2 linked regions of the Nothobranchius furzeri genome follow. The protein of the gene in region 1 interacts with the protein of each later gene in a pairwise test. Links are inferred from orthologs where the notes say so. Each region holds a gene or a part of one and is shown on either strand. Other genes may lie near its edges.

The links. The genes of interacting proteins can lie anywhere in the genome.
Region 2: the proteins of peripheral plasma membrane protein CASK (region 1) and tbr1b interact in a two-hybrid assay, tested with the Homo sapiens proteins (2 studies listed by BioGRID and IntAct). The link is inferred for Nothobranchius furzeri from reciprocal best matches to the Homo sapiens genes CASK and TBR1.

Annotation. Positions count from the first base shown.
Region 1 is NC_091754.1:50,607,791-50,614,250, forward strand, and holds part of peripheral plasma membrane protein CASK, read left to right. Parts: intron 1-1,565; coding exon 1,566-1,681; intron 1,682-2,382; coding exon 2,383-2,463; intron 2,464-5,008; coding exon 5,009-5,089; intron 5,090-5,179; coding exon 5,180-5,391; intron 5,392-6,460. UniProt on the Homo sapiens protein: Multidomain scaffolding Mg(2+)-independent protein kinase that catalyzes the phosphotransfer from ATP to proteins such as NRXN1, and plays a role in synaptic transmembrane protein anchoring and ion channel trafficking.
Region 2 is NC_091754.1:19,433,584-19,440,471, forward strand, and holds the start of tbr1b (T-box brain protein 1b), read left to right. Parts: upstream 1-3,170; 5' UTR 3,171-4,017; coding exon 4,018-4,715; intron 4,716-4,917; coding exon 4,918-5,072; intron 5,073-5,210; coding exon 5,211-5,332; intron 5,333-5,514; coding exon 5,515-5,673; intron 5,674-6,009; coding exon 6,010-6,071; intron 6,072-6,564; coding exon 6,565-6,888. UniProt on the Homo sapiens protein: Transcriptional repressor involved in multiple aspects of cortical development, including neuronal migration, laminar and areal identity, and axonal projection.

The sequences.
Region 1 (6,460 bases):
AATGTTTGAACCAAACATTTATCGCTGTTTTTGGCGTGTTTTGCGATGGGCCTATCGCACGTCCTATTATCGCGATGACGATAATTTTTCGATATATTGTGCAGCCCTAGTCTAGATTCTATCCGGTACAACAAATTGTTCACATTAGTATTTACTATTTAATCATACAAATAAAAACAGTTAAAGCTATTAATATTTTTTCCCATATTATATTTATATCTTATTTTTTAATGTGCTTGTAAAGCTGCTTGTGTTTTATAAAAACGTGTTCTTGTTCTACTCCAAAAATGCACACCGCTGTCCTGCATGAGCAAGGCAGGCTGTTGGTTTGTTCTCACTAAAACTGATATAAAGCCTAGTTTACGCTCCGCTCTGAGAAACCAGCTTTAAAAGAAGTTAAACTCACAAGTTAACTTAAGTGCCGAGCTTAGCTTTAGAAATCTGCCTGAACCTTTTTTTTTTTTTTTTTCTCTCTCTCTCTCTCTCTCTCTCTCTCTCTCTCTCTCTCTCTCTCTCTCTCTCTCTCTCTCTCTCTCTCTCTCTCTCTCTCTCTCTCTCTCTCTCTCTCTCTCTCTCTCTCTCTCTCTCTCTCTCTCTCTCTCTCTCTCTCTCTCTCTCTCTCTCTCTCTCTCTCTCTCTCTCTCTCTCTCTCTCTCTCTCTCTCTCTCTCTCTCTCTCTCTCTCTCTCTCTCTCTCTCTCTCTCTCTCTCTCTCTCTCTCTCTCTCTCTCTCTCTCTCTCTCTCTCTCTCTCTCTCTCTCTCTCTCTCTCTCTCTCTCTCTCTCTCTCTCTCTCTCTCTCTCTCTCTCTCTCTCTCTCTCTCTCTCTCTCTCTCTCTCTCTCTCTCTCTCTCTCTCTCTCTCTCTCTCTCTCTCTCTCTCTCTCTCTCTCTCTCTCTCTCTCTCTCTCTCTCTCTCTCTCTCTCTCTCTCTCTCTCTCTCTCTCTCTCTCTCTCTCTCTCTCTCTCTCTCTCTCTCTCTCTCTCTCTCTCTCTCTCTCTCTCTCTCTCTCTCTCTCTCTCTCTGCCAGAAGTTTTTGCGTTACCGCGCAATCATGAAAACATTAGCAGAGGCGCTCTAAAGCGTGGCTTCGGCTGCCGATGAAAAATCAGCCAATCTCTGTCAAAAAAACATCTGCAGATCTGATCAGTGCCACACAGAGCCCATTTCTTCTTCTTAAATACATTTGAAAGCCGTTTTTGTCCTTGTGTGATTAAAGTTAATGTTTTAAGGGAGTGATGTCATTTTCTGTAATCTGTGAATCGAATAGAAAACACAGTTCAGGCGTTTCCTAAAGTAGTTCAGCCCGACCAGAGGGTCACTGACCATCCCCCTCTAAGCCTAAATAATCCCAGTAAAAAAGGTTTGTGTAAACATTATGAAACCTAAACAACTTGCAGGGAAATTAGAAATATCGCCGCTTTCCGATGGATCACATTGGATGACCAGAGCCACGTTAAGTTATGCATAGATCTACTGTTCCCTGAAGGAAGGAGAGGAGCAGTGTTGTAGCGACTGAACCACCTCTCATCGTTGTAAAGCTGCCACTATGTGCTGGTGTGTGCAGGCGTGTGGCGTGTATAGCCATGGAGAAGACCAAACAGGAACAGCAGGCCAGTTGTACTTGGTTTGGCAAAAAGAAGAAACAATACAAAGACAAATACCTGGCCAAGCACAACGCAGGTACGTCACTGTTCAACCACGATGTCTACTAGCACAGAAGGACCTCAGGTGTTGTTTTGATTTAAATGTGAGGGCTTAAAGCCCCGAGACCTTTACTGTTTAGTGAACATGGTATAATCACATTGCTGCACCTGTTAGTGTTGCATGTTTCTCCCTCTGAGGCCTTTTTCTATTTACTGTCTGATGTTTCAGCTACTAACGTTTGTTGTTGACAGTCTTAAGTTGAATTATGGTCTGTAATAACCCTTCCGCTCCCACCCTCTGTCCATATTTCATGCTGTCTCTTACCCAATGACATGGCTGCATGTAAGTAACTGACGAAAGCTGGTATCCTTTATTTTCCCCTTTATCTCCTGGTGTTTTCATTGGAATGAGCTGCTCTGGTCTGGGTTGTTCACAGCAATGTGATTCAGATTGATTCTGGTGTTCAATCTGACCAGGTTTTCCACGATGTTACTCCCAAAATCAATTCATTGGCTAATTTCTCAAGCAAAACCAGTGCAGTTAATCCTACTTTCTCTACACTCTGTCATATCTGACCCATCTTATTTGTGTTGAGTTTGACTGCATGAATTCAGAAACACGGTTAAGTTTTAGTTTCACACCTGCCCTAAAGAGTTCCAGATCATTTAGATCCACCTGTAGATGCACCTTGGTGGTTCTCATCGGTCATGTTCTAAAGCTTCTCCTCTGTTGTTCAGTGTTTGACCAACTAGACTTGGTGACGTATGAAGAAGTGGTCAAACTGCCCTCATTCAAGAGGAAAACACTAGTTTTGCTGGGTAAGTTGTTATCTCTAAATAGATAAACTTGGATCAAACAGGAAGAAAACAAATTTGGTTAAATAAAAAAACTGTATAAAAAGATGTTAAAAAGAAAAAAAAGTGATTAAAAAATAATAAAGGGAGAGAGAAATCAGTGGATCCCGGGAAAGGTGGAATAAGAGCAGAATAAGGAGAGGGTGGTGACAAAAGTCACACCAAAGCCTGAACAGGTGAGTTTTCAGCTGCTTTTTAAAGGAGACCATTGAGTCCACTGATCTCAGGCTCAGGGGGAGAGAGGTCCAGAGTCTGGGGGCCACAGCAGCAGATGATCTGTCACTTTTGGTCTTTAGCCTGGTGCGCTGCACAACCAGTAGGATTTGGTCACTGGACCTCAGGGACCTGCTGGGGGTGTAGGGACTGAGAAGATCACCAACGTAAGATGGTGCTTGTCCATGTAAGGCCCTAAAGACCAGAACCAGGATCTTGAAATGAACTCTGAAGTTGACTGGCTGCCACTGAAGTTGGAGGAGAAGCGGGGAGCAGGGGAGTAGAAAGTTGCAGTAGTCTTAAGTGTGAGGAGATGATGGTGTGGAGGACAGAATGGGACTCAGTTTAGCAATGTTCCTGAGATGGAAGAAGGAAGAGCAAATGAGAGAACTGACTTTGGGAACCAGCTTGTCTGGGGCGCAGATGAGGATCTCAGTCTAATCTTCATTCAGCTGTAGAAAGCTCCCGGCTAACTGAGTTTTGAGAGTCTAAGCAGGTGTGTAGCAGCTGCAGCTTAGACATCTTATGGAGCTTACCCCGGCTTTCCACAGCAACCGTCAGCAGCACGTTACTGCAGCAGTACGTCATAGCTGCTGATAGGAACGGCTGTGGTCAACAGAACCTTTTCCACTGGAGCCGTCAGCAGCCGTCAGCAGCGCGAGTCGGCCGCGTCTCAGGAGCAGCATGTCGCGGCCTTTACGCGCCGGTTCTATTTCCTACGAGCGACGCCTCTGAAACGGGTCAAGTTCGACATTTTTGGGGAAGGAAAGACAGGAAATCGGACGCGGAAATGGAGAGAAGCTACCGAGATTTTCAGAATAAAGAACGTACTGCCTTCCGGTCGCTTTACTTTAAAAAAGGTTACTAACTGTGCGGCCCCGTGAGAAGTTATCACCTAGCTAGCGGTCTCCTTTGTTTTTCAGGTCCGTATTGGCGATTATAAAACGGACAGAATATAAAAACACAAACATTTTGGAGCCATGTTGTAGTTTTCTCCTGCTTGTTGTTGTGTTTACTGACGAAGTCACTCGTGTGACTTCGTGCCCTGTCGGTGACAGCTGCTCCTCTGCTGCGTCGCGTCTCGTGGGAAGGGCCAAGCAGCAGCTAGACGTGCTGCTGCAGTAACGTGCTGCTGACGGCTCCCGTGGAAACCCGGGGTTAGAGGAGATGTACAGTTGGATGTCATCTGCATAAAGATGGTAGGAGATTCCCTTTAAAGGAGCTCAGAATGTGCTTAAGAGGAAGCAGGTAGAGGAGGAAGAGTAGGGGCCCCTGCACAGAACCTTGTGGCACACCATGGGTAAGGGAGGTGGTGGAGGACCTAAACTTGGAGACGGCCACAGAAAAGGAGCGCTCAGAAAGATAAGAGGAGAACCACTCCAGAGCAGTTCCTGATAGGCCTATCCAGTCTCTCAGCCTCTCCAGTAGCAGGTGATGGTCAACAGTGTCAAAGGCTGCAGTCAGGTACAGCAGGACCAGAACAGAACAGTCCCCTGCATCACTGTGAGTCAGAAGGTCATTAGAGACCCTAAGAAGAGCTGTTCCAGTAGAAAGAGCTCTCTCTCCACTAGAGGAACTCCTTTATGTTCCTCTGCAGGTTCTGCTGCAAAAGAGTTGCCAAAAGACCTTTGCCCCTTTGAGACCACTGTAGCAGGGTTCATGCTGGCCCAAAAGGACAGGTTTCCAGGATTTTTCAGGAACAAACATGTACCTGCACTGGGGTATGTACTCAGAAATGGGACTTCTGGTTACTCAGTGGGAAATTATATCGGCAGACATCGCCAAACAACTGGCATTTGTCAAACTAGAAGAGCTGCTGGTGAAGCAGAATGGAAGGAACAGAAAATAAGGGAAGCCTTTATTCATCGCTACTGTGTCCAACAACATAGCTAACCGAGAGGCAGCGGCCATCCCTTCTTCATTGTTGATGCTCTGCCGCTGCAGGCAACTTTGGGCGCTTATCAGTGACATCATGCACAGTAAAATGTCACGATATGCTGACGACTCTTTGCAAAGTCCTGAAAGGGTCGATTTCACATGGAGAGGATGTAACGCCTAAGGACCGAGCCAGCCTATTCCCCCCGTCACCTTCCCCCTTTCTAGAAATCTCCTGAATGTCGTCTAGAGGAAACCGCTTACGCTTCATGATCAGGTCTGAGGACTGGATGGAAAGCAAGTCGAAGAGCAGCCACTGTGTAAAGAAATCTGATCAAGCCCTCTTAGAAGCGGAATATAACTAAATAAGTGGTGTTTTGTTACTTGTTTATGGTTCTCTCTGTGGTCTCTGTTTCTTCAGGTGCACATGGAGTTGGTAGGAGGCACATCAAGAACACACTCATTGCTAAACATCCGGATCGCTTCGCCTATCCTATTCCTCGTAAGCACGCCTACGTTTTGATTGCGACTTCTCATCGTCTCTAGAAAAACATGATAATTCACTCTCGCTGTTGTTCATCTCTCCACCCAGACACAACTCGGCCTCCTAAAAAAGATGAGGAGAATGGGAAGAACTATTACTTTGTGTCTCATGACCAGATGATGCAGGACATCAGCAACAACGACTACCTGGAGTACGGAAGCCACGAGGACGCCATGTACGGAACCAGGTTGGAGACCATCAGGCAGATCCACGTCCAGGGCATGATCGCAATCCTAGATGTAGAGCCGCAGGTAACAACAGTATGTGCTTTTCTATAAAAGATAATATTCTAATGTGCATGTCACATTGTTGATACCAGCCGTCAGAAGCCCCATCTCTGTCTGCTTCAAACGCATCGAAGTTGGGACTTCAGTATCTGGGCTGCTGAGACGATATTTCTCAGTAGCATGTCCTGGATTTCACCATCTGTTGTTCACACCTCCATTGCTTTTTCCACTCCTCCTCAAATGTCTGTCTGCTGACGTTTGAGATGAAGAATAAAATACCACATCTAAACCAACCCAGCAAAGAATCATACGTGTTAACAAGCTTCTAACGAGGGATAAACATAATCTCTCTCTCTCTCTCTCTCTCTCTCTCTCTCTCTCTCTCTCTCTCTCTCTCTCTCTCTCTCTCTCACTCACTCACTCACTCACTCACTCACTCACTCACACTCACTCACACTCACTCACACTCACTCACACACACACACACACACACACACACACACACACACACACACACACACACACACACACACACACACACACACACACACACACACACACACACACACACACACACACACACACACACACACACACACACACACAGACGTTCAGTAGTGTGTGGCCAGAGGCCGCAGATTCATGCCTGTATTGTTTTTGAGACAGTGCCCTCTAAAGGATGAGTGTTTAATTGCTGCGGAGGATTTAAAATGTGCCTTTAAATCATGTTACACGTGTAAAATGTTATTAGAAGTTAGAAATGAAATTTTATTAAAGCAACAAAGTCATTTAACAGCTGGTGAAGCGTTACATACACGGTGGTGGTACGTGGCTCGTCAGTCCGATGTAGGATGGAAAGATCAGCACATTCATCATTTCTGCAGCCATCAGGATTTCAAATATACAAGTTCTGGGAGAGCTGTCAGACATTCCTTTTCCATTGGGATCAATAAAGTTTAACTTAATTCATCTTTGAGACAAAATATAAATCAAAATAAGCAAACTGGACCTTCGAAATGATCAGTACACTTTATTTATTTAAAACCCAGATGTTCTACTGTTTATTGTTTGGATGGGCTTGCTTCAGCAGACACAATTTAGT
Region 2 (6,888 bases), about 31 Mb from region 1:
GCATTTTTTTGGTCAAAAATGAAGAAAAATAAGAATGAAAGAAACTCTTCACTTTAATTTATTGATGGAAATTGCAATGTGACATCTAGCAAACAACATATAAATAACTTAAAGGCCATCTTAAATGCATTCCCATGAAATTTTTAGAGCTGCTGTAATATAAGCCACTACCTGTCATGAATCCCAAATAACCTTGGCTCTACCCTCTTAGTTCAGCCCACTGTGCCTCATTCCTTATTACTGGCCTGACAAGGAAATGTTTACCCATCCGACAAGAGACACGGCATTTCATAGTCAGGAAAAAGCAATTTCACCTGACTGGAACAGCACACGATGTCCCAGTATCCTTGCTGGCTATAATTTTGTTGTCATTTTGTGTGCTGTGATCATATCATTGAAGTGACAGTGCTGGGCATTAGGTAAAGTCCCTAAGCTGGTGCTCACTTTCAGGCTTTTTCTCTCCTTGTCATTCACATTGATTGGATTAGACCCAGGTGGCAAGCAGATTCCTCTGGCACAACAAGAAAAAAGTGACAATATGATGGTTGATGAAAGCAGGTTGTTTTGTACCCAAATTAACACTTTTAAAAAGAGAGAAACGTCTTTTTTATAATTATGTTTCTGCGCTTTTAGGGAATAGAGGATACCTGTAAAAAATATTTTGCCTTTCAGCTGTTTCAAGGTATTTTTTCATGTCTTTTTTAAGGCGACGGTGACACAGGAGTTAAGTACCTGCCCCGTACTCGGAATGTTGCAGGTTCAAGCCCGGCTCAGTCTGTCACTGTCATCGTGCCCTTGGGCAAGACACTTAACCCACCTAGCCTGCTGGTGGTTGGAGGGACTGGTGGCACCAGTGTACAGCAGTGCACCGCACACTGTCAGTTCACCCCAGGGCAGCTGTGGCTACAGTGTAGCCTAATTACCACCAGGGTGTGATTGTGTGTGTGAATGGGTGAATGACATTGTACAGCATCTTGGGGGGATCTAGGGCTCCAGAACGCGTTATATCAAATGCATGCCAACCATCAGTATCAAGTACTGATGATGTATTTCCAAGAAACTAGTAAACTTGAATATATATATATATATATATATATATATATATATATATATATATATATATATATATATATATATATATATATATATATATATATTCTTCAAGGGAGCCCTTAATGATTTTCCTGCTTCTCTCTCCAACTAAATGAAAGCAGAATTACGACTGTCATAGTCAACCCTTCCACCACCTGCTGTAGCTAGTGCTAACAACGAGCTAACGCAACATTGAGCCAACAGATACTAAAATAAGACATGAAGTAAAAAAGATCCACACAGTTGGACAAAAATGAATTATTACTCACAAGTCCAGTACAGCAACAAAGCCAGGTCACTATCAGACTGTGATTTCATAGCACTCATCAGCTGCCAAACAAGCGCCGTGCACAACTTGATGACTCAATTTTTTTTAGCATCCATCAGAATAAAACAGGTATTCAAACTCAGACTAATCATTCGGTTATCTGAAATTTCTTATTTAGATTTAGAATCAAACAACTAAACAAAATATTTTAGTCAATTTCTACCAGCACTGTATAATACGGGACATTTACAGTCGGTTTAGGGGTTTCCAATCATTGAGCTGTGGTCCAATCCTGGTTTGCACAATAAAAGTTTCTGAAATCAAAGTTAATTCTATTAACATATTTTATACATGTAGACTTGAATAGGGGGTTTATGTTCAAATTTGCAAAGAAATGTAAAAGTCATATAAATAAAGTGCATGGTCATTTTACTGTAACATTTGTTATAATTGCAATTAGCTCCGCCCCAAGTTCTCTAGTAAAAAGATGAACTTATTTACAAATGGTATCACTTTAATTAAAATGAACTAGTTGTCATTGTTTAAAAAAAACTATTGGACATATTTCAATAAATCTATCCAGATAAACCACATTAAAGCAGAGATCTAAAAACAATCAGAGACAATTTTTAAAAAAATATAACCAGTAGAAAACAACTTCATTCACTAGAATTTCTAAAGCAACTCTTTTGTATTTTTAAAGTTGAAACAACATATCAGATTTTACAGTGCACTGGAGCTCCTTGGTTTGGGTGCACCATATCATATAAAATACATACACTGACCAAATGTAAATGCATGCATCCAAGAGCACATTAGCATTTTCATATTAATTAAAACATTTAAATAGCTATAGATGTTGTTCATGGTGAGTCACTGCTTCAGCTGGTCAAAGGAGGCAGAAGGCAGATGTCCTAACCTGCACTTCTTTATGTCTCCTCGAGGGACAAATCTGGCCACAAGCATAACAAATCAGCCCCTCCTGTTTGATTATGTCCAAACGGCTAGCTGAGCCAATAAAGGGGGGACTTGGCCTGATAAACAGGCACACCTGGGGAGACGCACTGTGCAAATGCATGGTTGATTCAACAATTGGTTTCTTTAGAGAGAGGGGGAGGGAGAGAGAGAGAGAGAAAGAGAGAGAGTAATGCTTATTAATGATCATAGATGGAAGTGAACCATAATCCTGTAATGAGCAGAGCAGAGTGGCCTCTTTTCCTTTGGTGCAGACAAGCCTGTGCTTGCATGTTTCTCAGAAATAGATTGCTGGACCCAGTAGCCCTTCTGTAATGACCTCTCTAGTTAGTTTCAGAGAACCATGGCTGTTCATTAGAGAAACAAAATGCCTTCCAGTGTAATAGGCCTTTACTTGTGTTCCTTTAACCCTCAGATAGTCCTGGTTGGTTCCTCATTCTGCACGCAACTCAACCAAAAGCTGTTTTTCTTTAAATGTTCTAAGTGTTTTATGTTGTCAGTAAAAATGCAACATATCACTATGAAAAAAGCACATCCCAGTGAAGATTATTGAAGGAAACAAGAAATAAGAAAAAGTGAAATCAGAACTTTTCTGTCAGACAGTATCTAAACAGAACAGAACAGCTGTTCTGGAGTAACCTTATTAGCAAATGAAAAATGGAGGTGTTTGCAGCATCTGCAGCTGCTGTCTCATAATTTAATTTAATTTGATTTTATGTTTTCAATCAAAATTGTTTTATCACAAACTAAACCTGCTAGAAAATCTCCAATTGTGAAATGAAATGATTTAGGGTTTAATCACTGACTTCATCTCATCTGAATCGTGTTTATTTTTTTAGGAAATACATGTTTTATTTTATTAAAGCCTTTTACATGTACCTCAGAAATGTAATCAAAAAGAGTTTAAATGATTTATTTTTCCACACAGGATTTAATGTTTTTTTCTCTTCCAGTGAGCTTTTATTATTATTATTATTATTATTTATTTTGTTTTTCAAAGCCACAGCAGGTGCACCGGCTCATAACTTTTAGTACATGAAATATTTACCAGCACTGGGAATCATAAACACATCTTCAGAGGGACGCAGGATTTCACGCTATATCACAAACATTTTAAGGCTTCAGATGCACTGCCTGTCACGTACTGTCATTTATTTATTAAATTTTTTTGGTGTGTTAATAATATATCTAGGCTTCTCCGCGACATACTTTGGCACTCGTAGCGCATAAATAGGTAAATAACGCCGGTAAAAGGTAAATAACACAGCTGACAGCGAAAAACAACAATTATAATTACCTTCTTGTTGTATTTTTTTATGTTTCGTGCTTTATTTTTTAACCAGGAGAATCATTCGGAGTCCATATGCTTTAATCTCAGGCCCGTGTCACAATACAAACAAATCACTTTGTGCACGGCGCTCCTCAGATTGTCCTAATTAAGAGCTGTCTAATTAAATTACAGACTTGAGTTAACCAATGGCAGCACTTGTTTCATTAGCAACGCGCGCAGAGTGATGGAGAGAAAATCCACCCTGATTGCAGGATGGTGTCAATTGGCTAATTTACCGCCTTCCTTGCTTCAAGTCATCTCAAAGGCGCACTTGGTGGTGTTAGACTGGGGGAAGAGGCGTGTGCAGAAGCTGGTGATATAGGTTGAGGTAATAGTTGCTTCCTATTGAGCTATGCAGGTCGAGAATTGCATCTCGCTGCCGAGTGAACTCTCAAAGAAATTTATGAATGTGGGCAGTGGCTTTGCGAGCTCCAATGGATCCGAGGAGCTCTCGTTGCAGGACCATCCTATTATATCCGCAAGTGACAACCTGGAGAGAAGTTCACCTCTGAAAAAAAACTCCAGGGAGATGACGAATCAGTCAGAGGCAGACAATTTTCCCGACTCCAAGGACGCATCAGGGGACGTCCAGAGGGGCAAACTCTCTCCTGATCTTCACGGAGTCTCTGACATCCGTCATAATTTCGATGGATCTGCAGGAGAAAGGTGCATCTTTTCTCCGTCTTCTCAGCCGCAGTCCGTTTCAGCAGCAGCTCCCAGTGCGATGTTCCCTTACCCGAGCCAGCATGGACCCGCGCACCCGGCGTTTTCCATCGGAAGTCCCAGCCGGTACATGGCCCATCACCCGGTCATAACTAATGGAGCATACAACAGCCTTTTAACCAACACTTCTCCTCAAGCCTACCCGGCAGCAGGTTACCCTTACGCGCAACAATATGGACACGCATACCAAGGAGGGGCTTTTTACCAGTTCTCCTCGGCGCAAGCGGGACTGGTTCCGGGGAAGGCGCAGGTGTATTTGTGCAACAGGGCCCTGTGGTTGAAGTTCCACAGGCACCAAACTGAGATGATCATCACAAAACAAGGACGGTAAGAGGGCGCACATGCAGGACCAGTCGGATTTTCACATCATTGCAAGTCGGTCTCAAATAAATAAATAAACTATTTCCCCTTATAATAAAAGGCGCAATTGATGCATTTATTGGGACATCTAAATTGCAAATAAAAAAGAACATAATTTGTTTATATGGTAAAAATATCAGCATACATGTATTTTCTCCTGTTTCTGCAGACGAATGTTTCCATTTTTAAGCTTCAACATTTCTGGCCTCGACCCAACCGCTCACTACAATATATTTGTGGATGTAATCCTCGCTGATCCAAATCACTGGAGGTTTCAAGGCGGAAAGTGGGTGCCATGTGGAAAAGCGGACACGAACGTGATAGGTAATCACGACTTTTGAAAATTTCGATAGAAAATATTAGGAAAAGGGCATTTTCCCGCAGTTAATTTCATTTGGAAATAGGTCATCGCGAATCTAAAATCACTTTGAATGTATTTTTTTCTGTGCGTATTTTTTAAAGGTAATAGAGTTTACATGCACCCCGACTCACCCAACACCGGTGCGCACTGGATGCGTCAAGAAATCTCCTTTGGAAAATTAAAGCTCACCAACAACAAAGGCGCTTCCAACAACACAGGACAGGTAATGCAACCTCAAATCCAACTATTTTATTGTTGTTTAACGCATTTCATTAATTGTACGTATATTTACCGTTATGGTTTATTTCTTTTGTCTGAATTTGCTCCTTCTGTGTAAAAATAGTGTTTCCAAACTTAAAAATGTCTTTTTTCTTGTCTGACGCTCGTCCTTTATTGAAACTCCAGATGGTGGTCCTCCAGTCCCTCCACAAGTACCAGCCCAGGCTCCATGTGGTGGAAGTAAACGAGGATGGGACGGAGGACACCAGCCAACCAGGAAGAGTCCAGACGTTCACCTTCACAGAGACGCAGTTCATCGCTGTTACCGCGTACCAGAACACTGATGTACAAGAACTCTCTCTCTCTGCACAAAATAAACCATTTAGCGCATTTTGGAAATAACATGGATTTAAAAAATAATGTTGCATTTTTTTAAATGTATATATATATATATATATATATATATATATATATATATATATATATATATATATATTCGTTGTGAAAAACGAAAAAATATAAAGTTACTGATAGATTTAAACAAGGAATATGAGAATAAGTTTTTATCTTTGAGGTTTTTCCACAAATTAGAATTAAGTCTCAAATGAAATCACATTCATTATGAATTGTGTTTGCATGCTTACAGTTGTATGAAATGATCACCGCATCTTTTCTCTGCAGATCACGCAGCTGAAAATCGATCACAACCCGTTTGCAAAAGGATTTCGGGACAATTACGACACGTAAGACAACACAATTACATCTATTTGCCTCCTGGTTGCAATTTTTATCTGAACAACACAGTGCGCTATTTGGACAAGGATAATAAAAATGTTGCTTTTTATTTGAATGATTTTAATAGTAAAGAGCAAAAATCTGTTAACGAAACAAATTCAGCAGATTTTAATTAATTTACGTTCAATTTCGTTTGTGAATTTGGTTTGACCTTTGCGCACCGATTAAGAACAATATAGATTCCACAAATGATATTAAAAATGATTTAATTCCTTGTGTGAGACAGAAGGCCCATATTTCGAGGTTGCGTCAGGTGAAACGGGTTCCCAAAAAGCTGCAGATTATTTTTAATAAAAAGAAACATGATTTCAAAACGAATGGACGCACTGTGAAGTTCCCTTCTGAGCTGGTGTATTAGCAGACAAACGTCTTTGTTGAAAACGCCACCATTGCGCACCATTAAGCGCCGAATTGTTTTCTGTTTTCTCTCCATCTTTTCAGTGTCTACACAGGCTGCGACATTGACCGCCTAACTCCATCACCGGGTGACTCTCCGCGTTCACAGATCGTGCCGGGTGCGAGATATGCCATGCCTAGCTCCTTCCTGCAGGACCAATTTGTCAGCACTTATGCCAAATCTCGCTTTCACCCTGGCGTGGGGACTGGTCCTGGCACGGAGCGCAGCGTCCCACTCGGCAACAGCTTGCTATCCCCGCAGCAAACCGAGGAGCCCACTGTTGCCACCCCCCCGCAGCGATGGTTTGTCACCCCTGCCAACAACCGACTGGACTTTGCAGCCTCGGCATACGACGCTGCGGATTTCGC